Linked DNA regions of Canis lupus familiaris. The main gene of each other region encodes a partner of the protein of the gene in region 2 in a complex. Links are inferred from orthologs where the notes say so. Each region holds a gene or a part of one and is shown on either strand. Other genes may lie near its edges.

Region 1 (3,818 bases), on a different chromosome or scaffold from region 2:
TGGGCATGTGAAATGCCACTCTTGCCAGTGGGTGATCAATGAGCCACCTTAGTCTCTTTCAGAGCGGGCATCTGGTGAGCAGAGAAACTTCTGGGGCATTGGTTGTCACAAGGTATCCTCTTCCTGTGCCATCCATGGTCTTTTTTTCCTTTCCCTTTCCCTTTCCTCTTCTTTTTCTTTCTTTCTTTCCTTTTCTTTCGTGTGTGTGCCAAAACCCGCTATCCATGGTTTTAATGCTTCCCTCACACTCAGCAAATAGGTAAGAGTGCCCTCAAAACAAACATTCACATGCATATACAGACATGCATATGCACATGCACACATCCTGACACGCATAAACGCATACATATAGGCACACATCTACACACATGCTCACATAAGAGTCGCTCAGCTAAGCCAAGCTGTCGGAGCTGCTCCTTCACCTTTGCTATTAAAATTGCTGTGGAGGTGGTGTCAGGCCAGGAAAACAGCTGGGGAGAGATAGATGGGGAAAGGGAGCTGAAGATGGGTTAGCTGAGCACGGGTACACGTGTATATGTATAGGGCCCAGGCACCGGGGACGGGAGAGGAAAAGGGGGCACTAGAAAGACAAGGATAGAAAGAAACAGGGAGAAGATGGAGACACGCCCCCTCCTGTACCTCTCTCCTCCTTCCCTTCTTCCTTTCCCTCCTTCGCCCGGTGATTTCATTCAGACTTGGGTATGGCAGAACCTTGATCAGGAGCCAGAGAATGGACGACTCTCCAGGACTATGGTGCCCTTTTCTCGACCCCATTTAAAAAAAGTAAGAGAGCAGGGGCCCCGTGAGACGTCCTGAGGCGTCCTGGTCTCCAAATGGACAAGGTTTCCATCTCTTGTGTACGTCTGCTCTCTACCTGGCTATCTGTTAGAATCGATCTCGAAGTCCTTGCTATCCTCCCCACAATCTTAAAGTTGCGGTGTCTGCCCCTTTAAAGCAGCAGCCCCGGGTCCGGTTATTGTCTCGCCTTGCAGCCAATCCACGGCGTCATTGGGGGCGGGGGATCCGGCCTCCTGATTGGCTACTGAGCGCCCCGCCCCGCCCGGGATCCCGGGAGCTGTCCGGCCGCCTCGGTGCTGATCCCGTCGCCGCCCACGGGCCGTGAGCAGCGCTAAGAGGGCATTATGAGCGGGGGCGTCTACGGCGGAGGTGAGCTAGCCTCGGGCTTCAGGCTACCCAGCCTGCTGCGGCCTCACCGGCAGCCCTGCACCCCGAACCCGCGCGACCTAAGCTCTGGGCACCCTAGGGCCTGTCACCCCGGCGCTCGAACGGGTCCAGCCCTGGGTTTGGGTCCTGCGCCACTCCTACCTTGGTCCTCCCAGGTCGGTCGTTTGCGCGCACTGGGGTCACTCTCCACCATCCAACTCACCTCCTCCCGGCCCCCTGGCCCCTTCTTTCCCGGCAAGGAGAGTGGCCTGAATAAGGCCACTGGGCAAGAAGGGACTCTGGGGAGGCTTGATCCCCACTCCCAGGACCCCGGACTTCAGGCCGAGCTCCTACTTGCCCCGGCAAGCGTTGAAGGTGGCGAGACTGGCTCTGCCTTGACCTCCTCTCCGAGCTATCCAGGGGGAGAGAGTTTGGGAGAGGTCCCCTCACACACCTGTCTCCCCACACAGATGAGGTGGGGGCGCTGGTCTTTGACATTGGCTCCTTCTCAGTCCGCGCTGGGTACGCTGGGGAGGACTGCCCCAAGGTGAGCCTTCCAGCCCCATCCCCAAGTCCTAGGGCCTCGGACTCCCCTCCAGGCTTCCCAGTGACCCAGGGTTCTCACAACACAGAGAGAAGCTCTGCAGAGCGGGAATGTGGGAGTAAACCCAGGGGCGGGCTGAGGGCCTTGCTATGGGTCTGGATAGGGGCAAGAGGTTGATCCCTCTTCCTGCCCATGCCCCCTCCAGGCTGACTTCCCCACCACGGTGGGGCTGCTGGCCGCGGAGGAGGGGGGCGGGCTGGAGCTGGAGGGGGAGAAAGAGAAGAAAGGGAAGATCTTCCACATCGACACCAACGCCCTGCATGTGCCTCGGGATGGAGCAGAGGTCATGTCGCCCCTCAAGAATGGCATGAGTAAGGAGCCCCCACCCACTGTCTCCCACCACAGACCAGGATCCCACTCACCACAACCCAGGACATATCACCCCACACTTACAGAGTCTATCTTGCAATTGCCCACATCCCAGGAATTCCCTCACAGCTTCCCACAGCTGACTGGTTCCCAGCCCAGGGGCCCAACAGATTCCCAGGAAGGGGGGATTTCTGCTAGAACTGATCTCACTTCCCCTCCCCTGGACTTGGCATCCCTCCTTCCTTTGCTTTCTGTCCCTGGACCCCTGCCGGCCCACCTTCATCTCTCCACGCTGGCCTCCTGGCTCCAGTTGAGGACTGGGAATGCTTCCGCGCCATCCTGGATCACACCTACAGTAAACACGTCAAGTCCGAGCCCAACCTGCATCCAGTGCTCATGTCTGAGGCCCCGGTAAGTGCCTCACCCAAACCCTAGTCCAGCCCCAGGTGCTCCCTACCTCCTTTCTGCCATTCACTTCTCCCTTCTTTTTTTTTTTTTTTTTTTTTCACTTCTCCCTTCTGAAAGCATCTGCCATTGATCACTCCACTTAACTTTTCAGACTTTTCTTCCAACTCCACCATCTTCAAGCACTTTTTTTTTTCCTCCCTGGTTTAGTCTTTATCCCTCTCCATCCTCCTGTTTTATCCATTCATATCTTTTGCCCATTCAGCCTTATCCACTGCTGTTTCTCCCCCTCCCCCCCCCCACCAAAGTCCTTTTGGACTTTTTAACTTAAAATTTTTGTCAATGTTATATATGCACATAACCACTTTGATTTAGAAAATATGTTAAAGAAAAAACGGCCATTCATATCCTCTTCCTTCCATTCCACTTTTCCAGAGGCAACTGCTTTTCATTTAGAGAAGTTTTGTCATATTATTCTATATCTCTAAATATCCCATTCAAATGCTGCTTGTGGATTTTATAGTTTTAGGGATTTATTTCCCACTGTAGAAAATAAATATTGAGGGGTATCTGAGTGTCTCAGTCAGTTGAATGTTGGGACTCTTCATTTTGGCTCAGGCTGTGATCTTAGGGTCATGAGATTGAGCCCTGCATGGGGCTCCATGCTCCATGGGAATCTGCTTGAGATTCTCTCCCTCCCCCTCCCATTCCCCCTCCTTCTCCTTGTACACACTCTCCTCTAAAAAAAGAAAGAAAGAAAAAAAGAAACATTGAGCTCTCTTTCCTCCTCCAGCCCACACCACACACTTCCCTCATTCCTCACCTTTAAGTATAGTTGTATTTTAGATTTCTAAAAAAATTATTATTCAGTATTTACATTCTTGTGTTTATATATGGTAATCAAGCCTCAGGCAGGCAATACTCTGGTCACTTTTCCTTTCCTGCACAGCTCCTTTACATAGAACTGAAAATTGCACTGATTTTTATTTTGCTTAGCTTTCTATTTATTTAATGATATGACCCTAAGTTATTCATCTGCTATTATTTATCTGCTTATGTTATCTATATCCTTTCTCAAACATTAGCTCCATTAGATATTCTATCAATTTGGTCTTTTTGAAGAAATCTCTCCAAAAACCCACTAATTGCTCCACTTTGGACTTGTTGCCTTCTATACAAAAGACATAGCTATCATCCTGACATCTCCCTTCACCATCATCTTAGGGCATCCCCTCACGTCTCTCCCGTAATAGAAGTCCTGTTTCTTGAATCTCATTACTCCTTTTCTTGATGTACTCCCTTGTTTTCATAGAGCACATCCTCCAGTAACTGCCTT
Region 2 (3,818 bases):
TGGCAGGGGCACCAAAGCTGTGTCCTCCTGTCATGCAGCCTTGGCAAATGCCAAGGGAAGAAATACAGGAAGAAGAGAGAGGAAGCCTTTCTTTCCCCACAGAAAATTTCAAGCCTGTGCAAACAAATTTTGGAAACCCTCTTTGGAGTCCGTGACGTGGCATTATATAATCCTAAAATGGAGTGCATAAATTGTTAGTCCTTAGTTGTTCTAGGAGCTTCCCCATATTCATTTTGAAATGAACATTCCACCAGGTAATAACTGTTTTGCATAATTTAAGTGTGTGATTATACCTGTAAAAGCACATCAGTATGATTTGTCTTTATATGGATTTCAGAATTACAAACGCCATATGGACGGCATGTATGGGCCTCCAGCCAAACGCCACGAGGGAGACATGTACAACATGCAGTATGGCAACCAACAGCAAGAGATGTATAACCAGTATGGGAGCTCTTACTCCGGACCAGACAGGAGGCCCATCCAGGGACAGTATCCATACCCCTACAACAGAGAGAGGATGCAGGGCCCCGGGCAAATACAGCCCCACGGGATCCCGCCTCAGATGATGGGTGGCCCGATGCAGTCGTCCTCCAGCGAGGGGCCTCAGCAGAGCATGTGGGCGACACGCAACGATATGCCTTATCCCTACCAGAACAGGCAAGGCCCCGGCGGCCCCGCCCAGGCACCTCCTTATCCAGGCATGAACCGCACGGATGATATGATGGTACCTGATCAAAGGATAAATCACGAGAGCCAGTGGCCTTCTCACGTCAGCCAACGTCAGCCTTATATGTCCTCTCCCGCCTCCATGCAGCCCATCACGCGCCCACCTCAGTCATCCTACCAGACGCCGCCATCACTGCCAAATCACATCTCCAGAGCCCCCAGCCCCGCCTCCTTCCAGCGCTCCCTGGAGAGCCGCATGTCTCCAAGCAAGTCTCCCTTTCTGCCATCTCTGAAGATGCAGAAGGTTCTGCCCACCGTCCCCACGCCCCAGGTCACAGGGCCGCCCCCCCAGCCACCCCCCATCAGAAGGGAGATCACCTTTCCTCCTGGCTCAGTCGAGGCGTCGCAGCCAGTCTTGAAACAAAGGCGGAAGATTACCTCAAAAGATATCGGTAAGCATTCCAGGCTTTGTCCTGAAATGAATCCCGGTTGTGATCTAGAATTTTAATTTTAGTTTAGATATAGCTCTTGTTAATCTCAAAGGGATCAAATTCTTATGACGACAAACTATCGAGACATGTTTTTGTACAGGAGCAAGAGCTGGAAGCTGCTAATCTGAGTTAAGAAACAGTGCCAAAGAGGAGCATGAATTAAAACAGTATTTTTACACATGAGTGTTATTTGTGTGAGAGAGTAGAGCTCCAAGTGAGAGACCAGGGGATCCTCATGACTATATTTTGTACTGCATTTTGAGCTCAAAGATTTGGTCTCAACCAAGCACTTAATCTCTGCAGTATGAGCTTAACGGCCAAGAGGCTAATGAAATGCTGAGGTGACCTGAAAAAATTTGAAGGTGAGCCACTCTGTCATTTTGGTAACACCATACAGACAGTGAGCTTCCCTGGGGCAAAGTAGAACCCTGCATATGATAAGTAGATAAATATATAGTATGATATACGGAATTTGATATGTTACGTGTAGAAATGACATGACCCCTATAGCACTGGTGGATAGGGGCCAAGGAGCTATTTCAGGTGGATGCTCATGTTTACTCACTCTGTTCAGGATGTTCTGAATACTAGTCAGAGATCTGGAATATCTGGGAGAACTCGGTTTTTCTGCATTATTTTTGAAGTACTTTTAATATAGCAAAGGACATTAGAGACCTTGGTTATATTAAAAAAAAGTTTTTTCAAAAACCTCGAAATCACTCGATTTGAAATCATTTACTACAGTGACTAGGAAATCAAAGCTATTAAAGGTTTTCTTCAGCCTTGGGAACTAAGGACATATACAGGCAGAGAGGGGGAGAGAAGTCAGGACTTGTAGAGAGGGCTGCTGGGGCTGAGAAGAAACACAGACAGACACTGAGCACCATTTTCTATGTTGAAATATATATGTGAGGATATGCGCGTGCGTTTGTGTGTTGATGTGTTTCTATGTGTGCGTACGTTTGAATAAATAAACATATTTAAATTTTTATAAAATTTCTTTGCACACGTAGATCAGCATTTGTCGTGAGCCTGGGGAAATTTATGTTCCTTTTTTTAAAAAGAAAGTTTGCTTTTTCTCTTACAAAAGTATTGCCTCTTAGAAAATATGGAAAGTAGATGAAATTAAAATAGAGGTGGAAACCCACAGCCCCCTCCAGCGGGTGTGATTGCTTGCCGGCGTCTGGTGTGGGCTGTTGCTCTGGTGGGTTCTCATCCCACCGGCCTGCTTACGCCATATGCTCCTGCCGATTTCCTGAGAAAGAAATTTCAGACATACGATGGGCCTCTTCTCTTAGTCCCATCTTATGGCAAATCTTGCAAATGTTTTATCTAATCCTTCTGTCTTCTTCAGGAACAGGAAGGGGGAAAAGAAAAGTAGAGCCCTTCTGTTTCCCATCCCCTGGCTCAGAGCAAGCTGTTGAAAAATCCAAGCCTTCAAAGTGCTAATAATTGTCAACAGCGTGTTCTGAGGGCAGAGGCTCAGATAGAAGAGGACAGCAAGGGAATATCAAGACTGTATATCCCAGAATGTGCTGTTTGGGAATTAAATTTTGCCTATATTCTGCGTATTTGCCAGCCTTCCAAAGATGCCACCCCAAGACATTTGTGAATGAAGCAGGCAAAAGAAGACAAATATCATTTCTTGGCTTGACTCAATTATTAACACTCAGCTGCATCATTACAGAGTCTGTTAGGGGCTAAAGGAAACAAATCAGAGATGAGGAAGGGCCGTTGTGCTTAGCCACTGCCACCTCTAGCAGCATGTTGAGCTCATGTTTAACCAACACATCCAAAGGATCATAAATGATGAAAATTTTTTAGTAAACTGTCACCTCCATTTAAAATATGGAAATGATCACGTTTCACCGTGCCTCAGAACATTTGTTTGAAATCAGTATTTAACTCAACATTCGACTTCTTTTGTTGTTGTTTTTTTTATAATTTTTAAAAAGATTTTATATATTTGAGAGGAAAAAAAAAGCATGCATGAGAGTGAGCTCACGAGCAGTGGGAGGGGTAGAGGGAGAAACCAACTCCCTGCTGAGCAGGGAGCCCAATGTGGAACTCGATCCCAGGACCCTGGGACCAATACCTGAGCCGAAGGCAGACACTTCACCAACTGAGCCACCCAGGCACCCCTACACTCAGCTTCTCTTTCCTTATTCTTCTGTTATTTTCTTCTGTCCTTTCATGCATAGAGTTAATATTAATTATGCCCTGATCTTTCCCCTGGTTTTAGTTACTCCTGAGGCTTGGCGTGTGATGATGTCCCTTAAGTCAGGTCTTCTAGCTGAAAGTACTTGGGCTCTGGACACTATTAACATTCTCCTGTACGATGACAGCACCGTCGCTACCTTCAGTCTCTCCCAGGTAAGCCAGTAACCCATCCATGGGCCCAAGTGGCTTAAGAAAGGGCTGTAGTGCACAGTGTCAGCAAATGTGAGAGGTGATTGGCGCCCCCAGCGGACGTGGCGGTCCCAGAGAATTGAGTTGGGAATAAGTCACTTCACGCTCTAGTATTAGCACACACATACTTGTTTTTATCACAAAGAAACTATCCCCTTGTGTGCACGCACATATGTGCGTGTGCATGTGCGTGTGGAATAGACTGTAGTAAAGGTGAGTTCCTTAGAATGACTGTCAGCAGGCAGGCGG

What was found.
Region 1: ARID1B (region 2) and ACTL6B share a complex: the UniProt entries of both Homo sapiens proteins name them as parts of the neuron-specific chromatin remodeling complex. The link is inferred for Canis lupus familiaris from reciprocal best matches to the Homo sapiens genes ARID1B and ACTL6B.

What each region holds. Positions count from the first base shown.
Region 1 is NC_049227.1:8,991,097-8,994,914, forward strand, and holds part of ACTL6B (actin-like protein 6B), read left to right. Parts: intron 1-693; 5' UTR 694-1,142; coding exon 1,143-1,167; intron 1,168-1,634; coding exon 1,635-1,711; intron 1,712-1,913; coding exon 1,914-2,079; intron 2,080-2,387; coding exon 2,388-2,488; intron 2,489-3,818. UniProt on the Homo sapiens protein: Involved in transcriptional activation and repression of select genes by chromatin remodeling (alteration of DNA-nucleosome topology).
Region 2 is NC_049222.1:47,278,890-47,282,707, forward strand, and holds part of ARID1B (AT-rich interactive domain-containing protein 1B), read left to right. Parts: intron 1-337; coding exon 338-1,121; intron 1,122-3,402; coding exon 3,403-3,533; intron 3,534-3,818. UniProt on the Homo sapiens protein: Involved in transcriptional activation and repression of select genes by chromatin remodeling (alteration of DNA-nucleosome topology).